2 linked regions of the Nothobranchius furzeri genome follow. The protein of the gene in region 1 interacts with the protein of each later gene in a biochemical or structural test. Links are inferred from orthologs where the notes say so. Each region holds a gene or a part of one and is shown on either strand. Other genes may lie near its edges. The genes, in order: mapkapk2a and zfp36l1a.

Evidence for each region.
Region 2: of the proteins of mapkapk2a (region 1) and zfp36l1a, one has a biochemical effect on the other in vitro, tested with the Homo sapiens proteins (2 studies listed by BioGRID). The link is inferred for Nothobranchius furzeri from reciprocal best matches to the Homo sapiens genes MAPKAPK2 and ZFP36L1.

Annotation. Positions count from the first base shown.
Region 1 is NC_091743.1:50,981,666-50,985,945, reverse strand, and holds the start of mapkapk2a (MAP kinase-activated protein kinase 2), read left to right. Parts: upstream 1-1,173; 5' UTR 1,174-1,405; coding exon 1,406-1,651; intron 1,652-4,280. UniProt on the Homo sapiens protein: Stress-activated serine/threonine-protein kinase involved in cytokine production, endocytosis, reorganization of the cytoskeleton, cell migration, cell cycle control, chromatin remodeling, DNA damage response and transcriptional regulation.
Region 2 is NC_091758.1:21,528,942-21,533,281, forward strand, and holds zfp36l1a (mRNA decay activator protein ZFP36L1a), read left to right. Parts: upstream 1-1,435; 5' UTR 1,436-1,567; coding exon 1,568-1,618; intron 1,619-2,568; coding exon 2,569-3,627; 3' UTR 3,628-3,859; downstream 3,860-4,340. UniProt on the Homo sapiens protein: Zinc-finger RNA-binding protein that destabilizes several cytoplasmic AU-rich element (ARE)-containing mRNA transcripts by promoting their poly(A) tail removal or deadenylation, and hence provide a mechanism for attenuating protein synthesis.

The sequences.
Region 1 (4,280 bases):
ACACACACAGACACACCTACATTTGTGTAAATGTTTTACTAATATATCTGATCAGTTCATTTCGTGTTCTCTTTATCCTAAAGTGTAATTTCATGAAGAGGAATCTAAATGAAAAATACTGAATGATCTAAGTGCAATTCTAAACGACACTGCTACACGTCCCAAACTCTCATTTAAAAACTGAATCAAACTATTGACTTTAAATGAATATTATTTAAGTACCACAAATCAAACAATCTTGTCTTCAGGACAATTTACTTTAAGAAAAACATGTTTATCAATTAAGTTTTGACACCAATAATCTCCCAGTGGAGATAATAAAAGTAAGAAATGTTTGTCATGTATGCGTGTGGTTTTAAATCGACTGTTAAAAAATAAAAAAGAAAAAATATATAAAATTATAAATGAGTGTTCAGTGCCTAATTCCTTATTGGGCCGATCCTTTATTTGGGTCTACCCTAAATGCTCATTCCCACTTCAGAGGGCTTAAATTATCCCATTAACATTTGTTTGGTAGCAGTGCGTCTTCCCAACTAGAAAACTGAAACCGGATTAATGAGTTGAATTCATTTTGATGTGAAACAGTGATGTGGAAACAGAAAAGCCCTAACCTTGAGGTAACCTGTTCCTCTCCTCTCACAGACTAGTCTGCGTCTATTTTGGTCCCTCGCTGTTGCTCTTTAAACGCTGTTAGTGGCCGTGTGGACGTCCCCTTGTTTATGTACTGAATACAATCCAAACAATCAAACTCAACAAACATATAAAACGTGGTTTACTTTATGATTCTCTGGCGATTATCAGCGAGCCAGATAATCCGGTCATTTCCTCTGTGGTACTTCTCCTTTAAGAACAACACAAAAAAAAAACTGCCATGACGTCATGAGTAAACCCTGTCCACCGAAAAGTGAAGTGTGTTTGTCGCGTTAGCTTGGTCGGACTTTTCCTCTCATTTCACGTTATTTTACTAGGTGGTTTTGGTATTTTCAAAGCCGAATTGTGAGATTTCTTGATTTTAGTAGCGTAACACAACATTTTAAGCGACTTGAAGGGTGTTTTAATAAGTTCCTGAAGCGTTTTCGTCTCTTCGATTTTTTGAGGAACCGGTGGAAGGCGGACACTACCGGAGATGGATAAGCTAACAGTTAGCTTAGTTGTTAGCCGGGAATCATAGGTCATAGAATAGGCTCGAGCTAGCATGCTAAAAATAGCTTATCTGATATTTTTCGGATTACCAAGTAACTTTGTTAATCTGTAATTTTAATATTACTGTCGGCTTGTCTCCGGGCCTTAGTCTCTTACGGTGTTCGGTCACCAGCTAAGTCGGGAAGACCCAATTTGTGTTCAAAGGGAAACGACGGAGCGGTGTTGTTGAGTGGTGGCGACTGATTATCTCTAAGCCCAGAACATGAACATGCTAAGTAACCCTCAGAACCAGCCACGGTTTCCGAACCCAGCGGGCCAGCAGAACCCAAGCGGGCAACAGAACCCTCCGGGTCAGTTTGCCCCCTTCATTTCGAAATCCAACCTACAAATCAAGAAGAACGCCATCACAGAAGACTACAAGATAACCAACCAGGTGTTGGGGCTGGGCATCAATGGAAAGGTGTTGGAAATCTACCAGAAGAGCACCGGTGATAAATACGCCCTAAAGGTGAGTTACAGCTGGAAACAACAGTGTGCATGAACTGGTTATTGAAGGTAACACCACTTGAAGTGGCAGTAGAGGATACAGATTTAGAAAATAACACATAAACACACCCTAATCCAGTGGTGTCCAACTCTGGTTCTTGCAGCCCAACTATCTAGCATGTCTTACACTTTTGTGTGCTCCAGATGGTAATCATTGACTGATTAACAAGATTCTACAGAACTTGAAGACATGCTTAACAAATAATTCAAACACTGAGTCGGATGTGTTGATGCAGGAAAATGGCAAACATGAGTAGGAGTTGCCCTTATGAACAGCACTGTTCCCTTTGAGAAGACCTCCCATTTTGGTATATTTTTATAAATTTTGCTACAAATGTGTTAACATTAATATAATTTAATTATATAAAATAGCATTTCCACCTAGCTGTGACGGATAATGGCGAACTTAAAAAAAATAAAACGTAGATATTTAGTAGTGCTGGGTATCGATTCAAATTTCCAGAATCGAGTCGACTCCGATTCTTGAGATTTAGAATCGATTATCACTATGTAACCTGATCGATTCTGATCCGATATCGATTCGATTCGGGTCATCAATTTAAAAACATTTTTGCAGTTACCTTAATTCCATGACTGCATAGTTGTGCAGTGTATTGATAATATTGACATTCAGTGATAAATTAATGAAATATTGGCCATTAAACATGGTTGTAAAGATCAGTCCCTCTCACAGAATGTAATAATAATAATAAATAAATAATAAAGTCCCATTAGTTGTCACACACACAGGTGTGTGTGCAAAATTTGTTCTCCGCATTTGACCCATCCCCTGGGGGATGGGGTGAGCTGCAGACACAGCCGCGCTCGGGAACTATTTGGTGGTTTAACCCCCCAATCCAATCCCTTAATGCTGAGTGTCAAGCAGGGAGGCATTGGGTCTCATTTTTTCAAAGTCTTTGGTATGACCCGACCTGGAATCGAACCCCTGATCTCCCAGTCTCAGGGCGGACCCTCTACCACTAGGCCACTGAGAAAGGTAATTAATGATGTCAAGTGTTTCCAGTGTTTTCTAGGACATTATTAAATTCAGACGTTAGGAATTCAGCCAAAAGATATTGCTGTTGAAAGCAAATGCCATTTTTATTCAAATAAGTTTTACCATATGACAAAAGACATTATTTGCCAGTGCAAATGTAAACAGAAACAGAAAGCTCAAAATTAACTGCTTTCGTTTTACTTTGTGCAAATAGAAATTAAAAGGTACAGAACCTTAAACAACTGTTTCACAGTCTTGTGCAAAAACTTAAACACTTCAGGTATCCAGAAACATTCAAATGCCGATAAAGTACAAAAATGTAAACTTGTGAAAACTGAAAGGCATTCCATATTGATGTACAAACAAAATAGAACAGGAACATAAACTTGACTAAAGACAGACTGTGTAAACTGTCCTTATGTACATCACTTGCGAATGGTAAGATTCTTCTGCAGGAAAAGTAACTGATTCACATGACCAGGGGTGAGACAGCTTCTTTTTGCAGTAATTATATCACCTGCAGTTGAAAAAACCCTCTCAGATACGACACTGGTCCCAAAGACACAGAGATATCGCTTAGCCATGCGAGCCAAAAGAGGATACTTTTTCATTCTCTCTCCACCAGACCAGAGGATTGTCCTGCAGTCCTGCAGGTTTCCTCGCCCTGTACCTCTTGATCTCATCTTCTGCCACCTCTGCACAAGTTTTCTTTGCATGCCCCCTCTCCTCTCTTGGTCTGTAGTCTTCCCCAAGGAGAGACTCCAAAGCACTGGATTGCTTGGGGTTAGGTGCAGGGGGGTTGTTTTCCTCCTCTTCCTCCATTTCATCAACTTCATCTTGCTGCGTGAGAGAGAAGAAATACTTATATGTGGTGTTGTGCAACAATAGGCTTTGGTTTGGCAATGAATAACTTAACATAACATAAATCTGTCATTTTGATCTATAAAGTCAGACAACCACTTGGATATCAGGAAAAGTGTTCAGTCTTGGCTATAACAGAAGGTGCATCCTCACACCTGTAACCATCATCTCATCTGGCAGGAGAACAATGATGAATACATTTCAGTTAAGAAAAAGAAAAACAGAGTTGTGCAGTTGACTGCAATCTATTTTATTGCACACGAACACAGTCAGCAGTGTAAAATGAGCTAAACAGTGCAAAATATCAGTCCAGAATAATTTTTTGGCATCAAAATATAAGAGGTAAATTCCATAAAAAATAATGTAGAATCTAGAATAGAGTTTGTAAGTGGTATGCATTGCTGGGGGGTGAGTGTCTTGTTCCCCATGTAGTTGTCCATCGTTGCTTGTTTTTTTTTCTGCATGAGAAACACAAATAGACTGAAATAAGTACACATATAAAATAAAGCAGCACACACACTACAACACTAAATCAATATTATATTATTTGAATTAACAATATACAGTGATCATTTATTTTGACAAAAATGTGTTGTGAGGCGTTTTACAGTGTTAGATAGTAAAACAGCCTTTTAATAGTAAAAAAAAAAGACTTTCTGAATTTCTCCTGTATTTAAAAATTGAAAACGTACAACTATGCCGCGTTATATTCACCTGGACACAGCTCGTCTGC
Region 2 (4,340 bases), on another chromosome or scaffold:
ATGTTCAAACACACCCTCGCTGCTCCTTGACAGAGTCCAGGAAAAGGGTTTGTTTTAAAGTTAGATCTCTTCTCTGCGTCGTTCAGGCCTTCTTGTCTTGAGTCAATTTTAGCATTTATGTACAAAAACAACCTCCCTCGCCTCCCCCACCACTGCAGGCAGGGAGACAAAGATCTCCACCCCCTATGTGGCTCCTGTGCAGGCAAAAGAAGAGGAAGGGGAAAAGGGAATGTTTTGCCTCTACCCCCACCCCTCTCCCCTCACCTCCCCAGGGCAGTGCTGTGTAGTAATAAACGTCCCCCATAAATCTTCCCCTCATGCCATCATCCCCCCACCCCTCATAACCCTGCCTTTCTTTTCTCCCCCCCTCCCCTCCTCCTCCTCCCTCCTCTCCTTTCTACTGCAACCCAACCCTGACATAAACACATGGCCGATGGCTTCTCTGTCATGGATTTGGAAGGCGGGAGGAAGTCAGAACCAGAGCCACAATAGGTTTGTATAAGTTTCACAGTCCCAAAGCCTGGCTCTTTCTTCTGACCCTGAATGCGTCATGATGACTGACTTGTGGTTAAATCTGGTGAGATCACTTGTGTATCAAATTATCACCCACCTGGTGAGGCGATATGAATTTGAGAGAAGCTTGAATGAGTTGTGGTGACAAAAACATATATATATATATATATATATATATATATATATATATATATATATATATATATATATATATATAAAGAAAGAAAACAGGAGTACAAAAATGTCGGGGAAAGAGTTAAAAAAAAGAACTCTGCAACCACCGGAAAGTCCCACGAGTGACGTTACAGTCCAGCAATTAGGAGTAAATTAATTACAGAGTAGTGGATGGTAGCTTAAACCCTGAGGATAATGTATCGCCTCCCAGTAAACAACTGAAGAGTTCCATTAGAGGGAAAACAGGAAGTCACAGACTTTGTTTAATCTCTGTGTGGCAAAATCTACAATCTGCAGCTCTAGCTTTTAATATAATGTTTATTGTTTACACTTTTCCATCACTGGGTGACTTTTTTGTGTCAAATCCACACAAATTAGTCTTTAAGGAGGGAAATGCGGAACAGATGTGGTTCTCCACACACACACACACACACACACACACACACACACACACACACACACACACACACACACACACACACACACACACACACACACACACACACACACACACACACACACAACAAGTGTTAAGGATTCACAACACGTCCAGCAGCGTAACCACGTCAAAGAAACTGACTAACCCGGGCTACAAGTTTGGCTTCAAAAGAGGAGCCGGGAAGAGGGGGAAGGAAAAAAGAGAAAAGTTTCTGAAAGTTAACGCCCAGAAGTTCAGGCTCCTCCTGCCCGCTCTTCAAAAGCAAATGTCGACGCTAAAGTGGGGCAGAGGGGGAGTCTGCAGGGTGTAAAATACACAGGAGCTGCGAATCAGAAACTCCGCAGACCTGCGCAACTCTTTAACAAGCACCGGTTGTTTTTTTTTTTTTTTTAGTTTTTTTTTTCGTCAGTAATTCTTTACTCACAACCTGCCGCCGTAAAGATGACCACAGCCGTGGTGTCGCCGTTCTTCGACTTCGAAGTAATAAACAAGGTACTTTTAAACTTTGTGCATCTTTAGCTGTGAACTCTTGCTAGCTGCGGCCCTCTCTCTGGCGCTAACGTGGACGCTGCTGTTGTTTTTTTGCTGTCTCGTCTTGCTTTTTCCCCCTTTCCTCTGCCTTCTTACAGCTTGTTTGTGTCGTTTCCTTCTCCTGGAGCGTTTATGTGACACAAATGCCTCGTGAGTCTGTCGTCGCGTGACGTTACCATTAGTAGAAGTTTCAGCCACAGCGCGTGCCACATCACCTAGCCGTGCTTGACATGCTATCACGCATTTCATTCAAGTTCAGCGGTGGTTTAAAGTTGGCTGGAGTTAATTCGGGCTGGGTTGGATTTTGTTGGGGAAAGTTTTGCGCCTCTTTTGTGTCCCGCAGTTGTTGCTAATCATTGACCAAATGTGTCGAGCCTTAGTACGCGCTTTCCTCCTGGGAAAACCGTAAAACACTGGGAAGTTCATGTGAGGAGAACGTGTGTGAGATTCGCCTCGTTTGCATGCATTTCCCTCGGTATCCGACTGCTTATCAAGCAAGATTTTCCCGCTTTTGTAGGGATTAACTGTTTTGTGTTCATGTAAATCAGCAACCAGCAGGTAAGCTGCAGAGAGGGCTCGCCATGTGCAACCCAACAGGATGCTTCGCTGTTTTAGTACCAGATTTGAAATGATGCAGCCTTGCTGGCAGCCCACAGGCCTCTCGTGCGCTGCAGCTCCATTTAGTAAGCAGGCACACATTCCTACCCAGGGTAGCCAGCCAAACCAGCTGCTGCTCTATAGGCCTGTATCCGTTTATGCTGTCAGAGCCAAAAAGAACAGTCATGCAATAGAAGGTGGAGGTTTCTTTTTTTTCTGGCCTGCCTTTTTATAAACTTGCACGTTCTGCCTGTGCTATAAAGTATTTGTAGAATGTGTGCTAATAACATGTTTTGTTTTGTTTTTTCTTGCAGAATAATAAGCTTCTCAGCTACAACAACAACAACAACCTGGGTGCCCCTCACCCCATGTCTGTCCCTTGCACTGGCACAAACGTGCCCATTTCCAACGCCGCCGGATCCCTGCTGGACAGGAAGGCGGTGGGGTCTCCCTCAATGGGGGGTGTGTACCATCGGCGGCACTCTGTCAGCATCACAAAGTTTAGCCAGAATCAGTTTCTGAACAGCCTGAAGGCAGTGGACCACTCCTCGCTCATCTCAGGGCCTGGCAATGCCAGCAACAACAAGGAGAACCGCCTGCGAGACCGCTCCTTCTCTGAGATGGGTGAGCGGCTGATCAACAAGTGCCTGGGCCCGGCCAGTCCCACGTGCGGCAGCAGCCAAGTGAACTCCAGCCGTTACAAGACCGAGCTCTGCAGGCCTTTTGAGGAAAACGGTTCCTGCAAATATGGTGACAAATGCCAGTTTGCACATGGGATCCATGAACTGCGTAGCCTGAGCCGGCACCCCAAATACAAAACTGAGCTGTGCCGCACCTTCCACACCATCGGATTCTGCCCGTACGGGCCTCGGTGCCATTTCATCCACAACGCAGAGGAGCGCCGCGGACCTCCCCAGCAGTCCTCCCCTCTAAACTCTTCAAACAAGATCGAGAGGCCTCGACTGCAGCACAGCTACAGCTTTGCCGGGTTCTCCAGCTCAGCTGGGCTGAGAGAAAGTCCCACCTCAGTCACCCCACCTCCCATGTTCTTCCCTGATGAGGTCCCAGATTGGCCCAGCAGTAACCCCTTCACCTATTCCAGCCAGGAGCTGGCCAACCTGTTTGGGCCAAGCCTCGGTGCTGGTTCTGTAGGCACAGAGCCCAACACCCCTGCACCTCCATCTCCAACAAGCTCGTCTTTTCTGTTCAGACCTATGTTGGAGTCCCCACAGATGTTCGAGTCGCCATCCAGCCCTCGAGACTCCCTGTCAGACCAAGAAGGTTACCAGAGCAGCTCTGGCTCAGAGTCCCCCTCGCTGGACACCACCCGCCGCCTTCCCATCTTCAGCCGCCTCTCCATCTCCGACGACTAGACCGCCTGCAGCCTCCAGTGACTTTTTAAGTTTAATGACGCAAAGAGAACATGGCTCTCCCCTCTACCTCCTCCTCCCCATCTTTCAGTTTCCCACCGAGTCCCCCGTCATTGTAAGGATGTAATCAATGAAGGGAGCTTTTCTTAAATGATCATTTCATCCCAGCTGATCTGCACATCTCATTTAAAATTCTGCCATGTGTCATAGTGCCAAATGAGAAGTGGAAATTGAACAGTGAAAACAAGAATTAACTTTGTCCAGGTGCCACTTGCATTTTTCCTCTTTACACCCCCCCCCCCCCCCCTTTCCTCTTCAGTTCTTGAATGTGTAGCAACAAGTGGCCTTGGAAAAGGGGAGTGCGATGCACGAACCCCCAGCCCCCTCTTGCCTTCTCTGCCCTGATGATACCACTTCCCCCTGAGCAGGCTAGATGGTGCTCACTAATGTAATTGTAGCTCTACCGCAGATGTTTTTGCAGACTCGATGCATAAATGATATAAAAAAAATGATAGACCCTGAAAATATATGAAAAGGTTTTAAACAAAAATAAAAAAAATAGTGCCTGGGGCGGTTTCTGCATGTGTTTAGGGTGAGTGGACTACTGTGTTTTTTCTCTCTGCTCCTACCCCACTGTCAGTTCTTCTAAAGCCCCGTCTTATGTAACTGAACTGGGTGAGTCTGCAGGAAGGACTTTGAACTGGAAGTTGGTTGTG